Sus scrofa: one gene and its partner. The protein of the gene in region 1 interacts with the protein of each later gene in a pairwise test. Links are inferred from orthologs where the notes say so. Each region holds a gene or a part of one and is shown on either strand. Other genes may lie near its edges. The genes, in order: PNKP and ZNF639.

Region 1 (4,297 bases):
CCCCCCCCCCCCCCGTATGTTTCCCTATTAAAGTCTTTTAAAAGTCTTGTGGCCACCAGCTCACTGACCAGACAGATACCCTCCTGTCCGTGGGCGGCCACACCCAGAACCTAACAGCTTCGCAGAGGAGATTCTCTCTGAGATCATGTCACCTGAGCCAGGTGGGGACGGGCTTCGGGTCTGGGTGCTGCTTGTTGGGCGCCGGGTCTTCCAGGGCTGACTTCGCGGCAGCAGGGCCGGCTCCCGGAACCCCACTCGACCTCCGGGCCTCGCATAGCTGGGCGCAGACGCAAGGCGGCGCCCCGCAGCTTCCTGCCTCTTGCTGCTGGTCTTGCCCGCAGGGGCCCCCTCGCCACTGCAGGCCCAGGCCACAGCCCCGGGGCTCAGGTCCAAGGTGCAGAGCGTCTGGCTTCTCCGCCTCTCCTCTTGGGGTCCCGCGTTTGGCCTCGCCCGCCTGGGTGGGCTCTGCAGCTCCAGGAGAACCCCCCCTGGGGCCTGTCCGCTGGGCCGCCCAGCCAGAGCACCCGCAGAGCCTGCGAGGGTACGTTTCTGAAGCCCCGCCAGCAGGCTCAGCACTCCTGGGGGCCCCCCTTTCTTCCCAGCAAAGTGCTGGTCACGCATGAAGAAAAGAGCGTTTATTGGGCATTGGGAGCGGGCAGGGGTGGCTCAGCCCTCTGAGAACTGGCGGTACAGCCGCTCAAGCTGCGGCGCCACGTGCAGCCGGAACGGGATCTCCAGGACGGCCGCGAAGCCTTCGGCCAGCGTGGGTGCTTCGAACTGCTTCCTGGCGGCAGAGGGCGACGGTGGAGGTGGTTCCTACCCGGTCCCCGGGTCCCCGCCCCCCGCCGCCCGAGGCACCTGCCTGTAGCCGTAGATGACGATGTCGGACACGGGGACGTGGGAGGGGTCCGTCATCTCCCGGAACTGCGGGGACAGAGGGGGATGGGTCAGGCCGCGGCGGGGCCAGGGCGGGGGCGGGTCAGGCCGCGGGGCCGCCGCCGGCTCACCCGGTTGTTGTGACGCGCCTGCTCCAGGCTGGCGCTGAAGAGGAAGCAGCGGCAGGGGACGCCTGCGTCTCGGGCACACTTGATGTACCTGTTAGGGGCGGGCTGGTGAGGGGCCCCGGCCCACTCTGCAGAGCCCCCCCCCCCCCCCCGTCCCCCGGCTCCGGAGACCCGGTACCTGGCCCGGCTCTGGAGGTCCGGGTTCGTGTTATCGATCACGACCCGTTTCCGTTGCTTCAGAGCTGCCTCGCAGGTGGTCACGCAGCGCTGCCAGGAGCCCAAGGTGTCCTGGGGACCCAGGAAGAGACCAGGGGACAGGGACCCAGAGAGAAAGAGAGCCACAGATACAGGGTTAGGGACTTGGGCTGTGGGGGACCTGAAAAAGAAGGCGAGAGGTGGGGGGGGGCAGAGACCAGGGATGGGACGGGGCTCCCGGCAGGGCCCTACCCTGTTCACGTGGACGTAGCCGGCAGACACGAGATGCTCCCGGAGGAAGGTGGACTTGCCGGCTGTGAAGGGTGCAGCGTTAGTGGAGCCTGCCTGGGGCGGGGGCGCGGGGCAGGGGCAGGGGCTTCTAGGTCCGGGGTCGGGGAGTCTCACCCCCAGGAAATCCCACGGCGACGACCACCTCAGGGTCCGGGCTTAAGAGGGAGCTGGACTCGGGGAGGCAGAGAGGCCCAGAGCGGGAGACGGTCCTCTGGGAGGGGCGGACACGATGGGTGAGACGGGACCCCTGCCCCTCCCCTCCGCCTCCACTCCAGCGCCCAGCCCGAAGCCTCACCGGGTCAAAGGCTGGCAGCTCAAAGCGGGCCACCGGCCACTTCAGAAAGAACTCCTCCGGCGTGGCGAAAGGCAGCCCCAGGTTGAGGGCAAACTGGGGGCAAGAGGGAAGGTCAGACGGGGGCGGGCCGGCGCGGGGCGCGGGGCAGGGTGGGGCGGCCTCACCAGGCGGTCTGCACACGAGAAGTCCTTCTTCTTCCGCCCCGGGGCCCAGTTGGCTGGGCGTCCGGCTGCATCTGGAGCACACAGAGGACACACCCCCACCTCCACCAGCAGCCTCACGGGACGGGGGACCGAACCCACCCCCCTCAGCCCCTAGGTCCTTACCGCCCACAAATACGCTGTCTCCTATGGAGATGGGAACACCCTCATTGCCCTGGGGAGGGACAGACGACAGGTGGTAAGGAACCCACTCCCGTCCCCACCCCCACCCCGCAGAACACTAACGGCTCCCAAAGTGATGCTCGGCTTGCCCAGGGCCCCTCGCTAGGCCTGGTCTCTAAGCTCTGGTGCCCTGCGTCTAATCCATCAGCAAGTGCTATTGGCACAGCCTTGCTGCCACTCCTCACCCCCTTCACCAGCATCTCTCTGAACTATTCCCTCCCTCCTTCCTGGTTTCCCAGCTTCCATTTTGGCCCGTCTGTTCCCCGCATGGCCGCCAGAGGGCGCCGGCTCCTACCTAGTCCCATCCCTCCAGTGGGGTGGCCACCTGTGGGGCTCATGGGACCCCCTGCTCGCCTCCTCACCCGCTCAGGTGCAGCCACAGGGCCTCCTTACTGCCCATGAGTGAAGTGGGCTCGGTCCCACCTCAGGCCCCTTGTGCTTTCTACTCCTGCCTGGCCCCTCCTTCCCCTACGTGGCTCCCGCCCTCGGCAGCTTTAGCTCTTTCCTCAGTGGCACGTGGAGAGGTGTTCACGGCCTCCACAGCCGCAACGACACCCCGCCTTATCCTCGCTCTGCTGTCCTGTGCATCTCTCAAGGTCTCTATAATCTGTACCCTCCCTGATCCGGGAGCTGGCAGATCTGTCGTCTTCCCTAATATCTTCGGTCAAGAAGCTGTTGAGCTTCGGAACACACACACACACACACACACACACGCACACGAATGAATGAATGCACGAGCGATTTCCCTCTCGACCACTCTGGCTTCCAGGGTTTAAGAGCACCGGCCTCAGGTACCAACACTAGGACATGATAGCAAAGAAACTGACAAGACCATGCCCGGCAGGAGAGGAAGGTCATGGGCCAGAAACCGAGTGGGGAGGCGGAGGGAAAGGAGAGTCACTGGGAGCCCGAAGCTCACCTGTTCCCGCAGGTGGTCCCACATGCCGATCACCGGCTTCCGGTACAGGCCCGCATGGGTGGCCACCAGCACCTGTGGGCGGGGCGGGGCGGAGACACCATCCCTGGCTCCTCCTCTAGCACCCAAGGACACCCAAGGACACGTGGGTCCTAAGGATGCTACCACCCCGACGCTTACAATCCAAGGAGAAGGCCAGTGCCCCGGATCATGATGGGTTGCCATCAGCATAAACCCGCACCCCTACCCCACCATTCACCCAGGGTCTCTGCCCTCCCAGCTGGCTCTCCGTGTAATGCCTTCTCCCTGGGTCTCTGTTCCCTCCTCTCTGTCCCATCTCGGCGTCTGTGTGTGGTCCCCCCCCTCCCGCCCCCGCCCCGCCATAGCCCTTCGGCTTCCCTTGCAGCCATACCTGAAAGGGAACCCCCAGCTTCTCCACCACAGCCTCCACCTTGGCCTTGAACTCCTCCGCTGGCAGCTTCCCGCGTCCAATGCCCATCTGGTTGGTGAAGATCACCAGCTGGGGACAGATGGGCGTCACCCGGTGCCCTCATGAGGCCCAGGCCTGTCTAGCGTCCCCGCCACCACACACGCACACACCTTGTAACCCTCCGCGTCCAGTTCCCGGAGCTTCCGCGGAATCTCCAGGTACAAGATCCTAGGGCGGGCGAGGAAGCGCAAGGTGACCCGGGGTCCGGAGCGCGCCGCACTCACCCCCTCCTCCTGCCGCCGATCACCTCCAGTCGCTGGGGCCCGTGGGAAAGACCTTCCCAGATCGTGTGGTGATGAGGGTCCCATCGAGATCAAAACTGGCTACCTGGCGTCACCCGGAAAAGAGAAAGCGCAGCTCGGTTACACCTCTGATCCCCCTTGCTCACAGGCTGGTTTCCATCGACCTGTAGGGTGGGGAACTGAGTCACAGGGAGACGACACAGCTTTTGCAAGGATAAGTCATGGTAAGATGCATCCGGGAAACCAGAGGGCAGAGAGTGAAGGCTTCACCCCACCACCTCCTATTCCTCTCAGCCTCTCATTGTTTCCATCTTTAAAATGGGCTTCAGGAGTCCCCGTCGTGGCTCAGCGCAAATCTGACTAGCATCCATGAGGACACAGGTTCGATCCCTGGCCTTGCTCAGTGGATTAAGGAGCCGTGAGCTGTGGTGTAGGTCGCAGATGCAGCTCAGATCCCGAGTAGCTGTGGCGTAGGCCAGCG
Region 2 (4,245 bases), on another chromosome or scaffold:
CTAGCCTGGGAGCTTTCCTATGCTGCGGGTGTGGCCCTAAAAAGCAAAAAAAAGAAAAGAAATGACTTTATATCTGAAGTTTAGGGATTACTTTGCAGTTGTATAACTGAAAATGAAATGTGATTATAATCTATTTCATTTATAAATGAGTTATGAAATGCTACCTTATTGTCTAATTCCTTTCCAGTTCCTCCCCACCCCCATCTAAAACTGACACAAAGATAAGGGCTAAAATAAAGGGGAAATAAAAAAGAGCGCCAGCAAAACCAAATCTTTCCTTCTTACCCTAACACTGGCCTCCTAGTGTCACTGAAAAAAAATCACAGAGAGGTAGAGCACGCTGATTGCCTTGGGGATAATAACCTGATGGGGAATGCCAAAGGAGGGTCTGGTTCTTACTAATGGGAGTGTCAGTGGACTTAATTGTGTACAGTGTTGCATTTTAGTTCTGGTAGTGCAGTACTTCACACATGAAAAACTGAGGTTGTTTTGAGTTTAAAGAAGAAAAAGTTTATAGCACCTATGTTTACAGAAGGAAAACCGTAGTCTAGTTTCTTCAGTACATCTGTTTCTTATCAATTTATGAAATCAGAGCACATGCAAGAAACAAGATGACAGTCACCAAAAGTGGTAAAAACTACAAACTACAATGCATCAAAAATACCACATTTAGGATAAATTACATATTGAAAAAGCTAGCAATGCCAAAAAAATTGGAGAATTAAAAAACTTGTTAAAGACAATTCTCATAAATTGTTTAAAATCATCCATTTTAACATCTTCAAAAAAGTCAAATTTATTATATTACATCAACATTACGGAAGTTAAAGAGAACAATCAAGAAGTCTCATGGACTGGAAGGTGACTTATTAATTCCCTTTCATTTCCAAACCTCATCAAGCAGTCACTACATTTATGAGGTAAATCAGCTGAATGTTTGAAATCTAGATGAATTTTAAGATCTTCAATCTGTCCTGTTGAATATTCACAGTACTGACATAAATAAATGCCTTCTGATAAATGTGAATTTAAATGCTTGCAATATTCTAGCATACTTGAAAAGCCTTTCCCACAGTCATCGCAAACATGAGGAAAAATTTTAGTATGTTCAATAGCAACATGCCTGTTAACGTTTGTATGAAGTCTACTCCGAAAACCACATACTTGACATACAAAGAAGTTTTTACATTTGTCAAAGGTAATTTTGCTTAAGAGGCTGTACTGTCCGTGTTCTCCATTGTTATACTTATCACTTAACTCTATTAACTTACATGCATGCTCATTTACCACATGGCTGTGCAAGTCTTCTGGATCATTTGTTTCATGTTCACAGAACTGACACAAGTACTGTTCATCACAGCTGTGCTCCTGGAAATGCAAGTAGAGTTCACTGCTTGAGGAGAACTGTACATCACATTGCTCACACCAATAAAGATGATCACTAAAATGGGTGTCAGCAATGTGCTGGCTAAGGTTCTCGAAAATAACTGTCTTATAATCACAGTATTTACAAATGTAGGGATCCTCTTCATGCAGTTTGGCATGTTCAATCAGAAGCATGTTGGTAGAGAAACTTTCTTTGCATACTCGACACACATTTGAATCAGTTCGTTTATGTTTCAAGATCATATGCTGCTTCAAATCAGAAAAGTATTTGCTGTTGAACTCACAAAGTTCACATTTATAAAGGCCACTGCTATTAGCTCTCAGTAAAGGCCATTTCTGCTGGGCAGTCACATTCAAAGCTTGGCTCTTATCAAGAATTTTGCAAAGTTTAGCTGGTGGCTCTTCATCAGTTTGGTCTTGGAGACTCTCAGAGGAATTGTTTTCTGCCTCTATATCATAATCTTCAGAAATTGCATGCACTTCTGCAGCAATTGGAACATCTTCAGCAGTGTGAACTTCTATAGCGCTTTCCTCTTGAGTCTGCTGGTTGACTGACTCAGGGGAGTCACACTCTTCATCACAAATTTCAATATCAGCAGATTTTTCTGAAAAACAAAAAAGCCTATTATTACTAAATAAGACCTATTAAATAAGTAATTGGCAGAAAGAAATTTATTTTATGTGTTATTTCTTCATTAATCTATACAAAATGTGCAAATGCTATTAATTAGTTTCCCTTACCTGTAGAAAAGGCAGTGTGGTCTAGAATTCTAAGTACAGGACTGGGAACCAGGTAGTTTTGATTTCTGTTTCTGGCCTTGATTCCATCTGTAAATTTTGGCAAGTCATTTGATGTCTCTGTATCAGAATCATCATCTGTTACAACGGATTTGGAAAAATATTTATATCAAAGCATTAAACATTACTATAAAAACAAACCACCAAATGTTTTAAACTTAGAATTCCAACACAACTAAGGACTTAGATTTAGGTATGAAAAGCTTTGTTATCTGTATACCACAGATACAAAGAAAATCTGTCCAAATAACAAACTAATGCTTCCCTGCTACATTTGGACTAGAATACACTTCTTAAAGTTACATGGGAATTTTATTTTTAAATTACTGAATTTGAATAAGTCTCTGTTCTCTCAGTCCAGCCTCCAAAATTTAAAATTAGCAAGGACAAACTGAAATGCCAGTCAGTAGAGAAAACTGGGTTTCAACATGATGTCTTTTGAAAATAGATTTTATTTTTTAGAAGTTTCAGATTTATAGAAAAAGCAAAATAGGACAAAGCATTCTCCTATATTCTACAGTTTCTCTCTATCAACATTTTACCTTAGGAGTTCCCATCGTGGCTCAGTGGTTAACGAATCCGACTAGGAACCATGAGGTTGCGGGTTTGATCCCTGGACTTGCTGAGGGGGTTAAGGATCAAGCGTTGCCCTGAGTTGTGGTGGGGGTTGCAGATGCGGCTCGGATCTGGTGTTGCTGTGGCTGTGGTGTAGGCCGGCAGCTGCAGCTCTGATTAGACCTCTAGCCTGGGAACTTCCACATGCCGTGGGTGTGGCCCTAAAAAGACAAAAAAATATATATATATATACATATATATATATATATAAAACAAAACAAAAAACATTTTACATTAATATTTGTTATAATTAGGAGATCCCCTAATTATGGCTCAGTGGGTTAAGAACCCAACATAGTGTCTGTGAGGATGTGGGTTCAATCCCTTGCCTTGCTCAGTGGGTTAAGGATCTGGCATTGCTGCAAGTCGAAGCACAGGTTATAGATGAGGCTCAGATCTGTTGTTGCTGTCAGTCCCAGCTCTAGCTCCAACTCAACCCCTAGCCTGGGAACTTCCATACGTTACAGGTATAACCGTAAAAAGAAAAAATAATAGTTACAATTAAAGACCAATACTGGTAAGTGGTTCTTAACTAAAGTCCATACTTCAACTTGATTTCCTTATTTTTTTAAATTACTCAATGCATTTATTACATTTATAGCTGTACAATGGTCATCAGAACCCAATCTTATAGGATTTCCATCCCACAACCCTAGCGCATCCACCCCCCCCAACTGTCTCCTCTGGAGACCAGAAGTTTTTCAAAGTCTGTGAGTCAGTATCTGTTCTGCAAAGAAGTTCATCCTGTCCTTTTTTCAGATTCCACATGTCAGTGAAAGCATTTGATGTTGGTGTCTCATTGTATGGCTGACTTCACTCAGCATGATAATTTCAAGGTCCATCCAGGTTGCTAAAAATGCTATTACTTTGTTCCTTTTAATGGCTGAGTAATATTCCATTGTGTACATGTACCACATCTTCTTGATCCACTCCTCTGTCGATGGACATTTAGGTTGTTTCCATGTCTTGGCTATTGCAAAGAGTGCTGCAATGAACACTGGAGTACATGTGTCTTTTCCAGTCATGGTTTTCTCTGGATAGATGCCCAGGAGTGGGATTGCTGGATCAAATGGGAGTTCTATTTTGACTTTTCTGAGGAATCTCCATAATGTTTCCCGCAGTGGTTGCACCAATTTACATTCCCACCAACAGTGTAATAGGGTTCCTTTTTCTCCACACCCTCTCCAGCACTTATTGTTTGTAGACTTTTTGATGATGGCCATTCTGGCTGGTGTAAGGTGGTACCTCCTAGTGGTTTTTTTTTTTTTTTTTTTTTTTTTTTTTTCATCTTTTTTTTGCCATTTCTTGGGCCGCTTCCGCGGCATATGGAGGTTCCCAGGCTAGGGGTCGAATCGGAGCTGTAGCCACCGGCCTACGCCAGAGCCACAACAACGCAAGATCCGAGCCGCGTCTGCAACCTACACCACAGCTCACGGCAACGCCGGA

The links.
Region 2: the proteins of PNKP (region 1) and ZNF639 interact in binary tests that used the Homo sapiens proteins (3 or more experiments, as listed by UniProt). The two-hybrid records come from large-scale screens. The link is inferred for Sus scrofa from reciprocal best matches to the Homo sapiens genes PNKP and ZNF639.

The regions. Positions count from the first base shown.
Region 1 is NC_010448.4:54,873,706-54,878,002, forward strand, and holds the end of PNKP (bifunctional polynucleotide phosphatase/kinase), read right to left. Parts: intron 3,902-4,297; coding exon 3,822-3,901; intron 3,743-3,821; coding exon 3,685-3,742; intron 3,605-3,684; coding exon 3,497-3,604; intron 3,160-3,496; coding exon 3,088-3,159; intron 2,161-3,087; coding exon 1,786-2,160; intron 1,702-1,785; coding exon 1,605-1,701; intron 1,514-1,604; coding exon 1,452-1,513; intron 1,293-1,451; coding exon 1,183-1,292; intron 1,096-1,182; coding exon 1,008-1,095; intron 925-1,007; coding exon 863-924; intron 785-862; coding exon 667-784; 3' UTR 621-666; downstream 1-620. UniProt on the Homo sapiens protein: Plays a key role in the repair of DNA damage, functioning as part of both the non-homologous end-joining (NHEJ) and base excision repair (BER) pathways.
Region 2 is NC_010455.5:117,380,289-117,384,533, reverse strand, and holds the end of ZNF639 (zinc finger protein 639), read right to left. Parts: intron 2,263-4,245; coding exon 2,128-2,262; intron 1,992-2,127; coding exon 838-1,991; 3' UTR 556-837; downstream 1-555. UniProt on the Homo sapiens protein: Binds DNA and may function as a transcriptional repressor.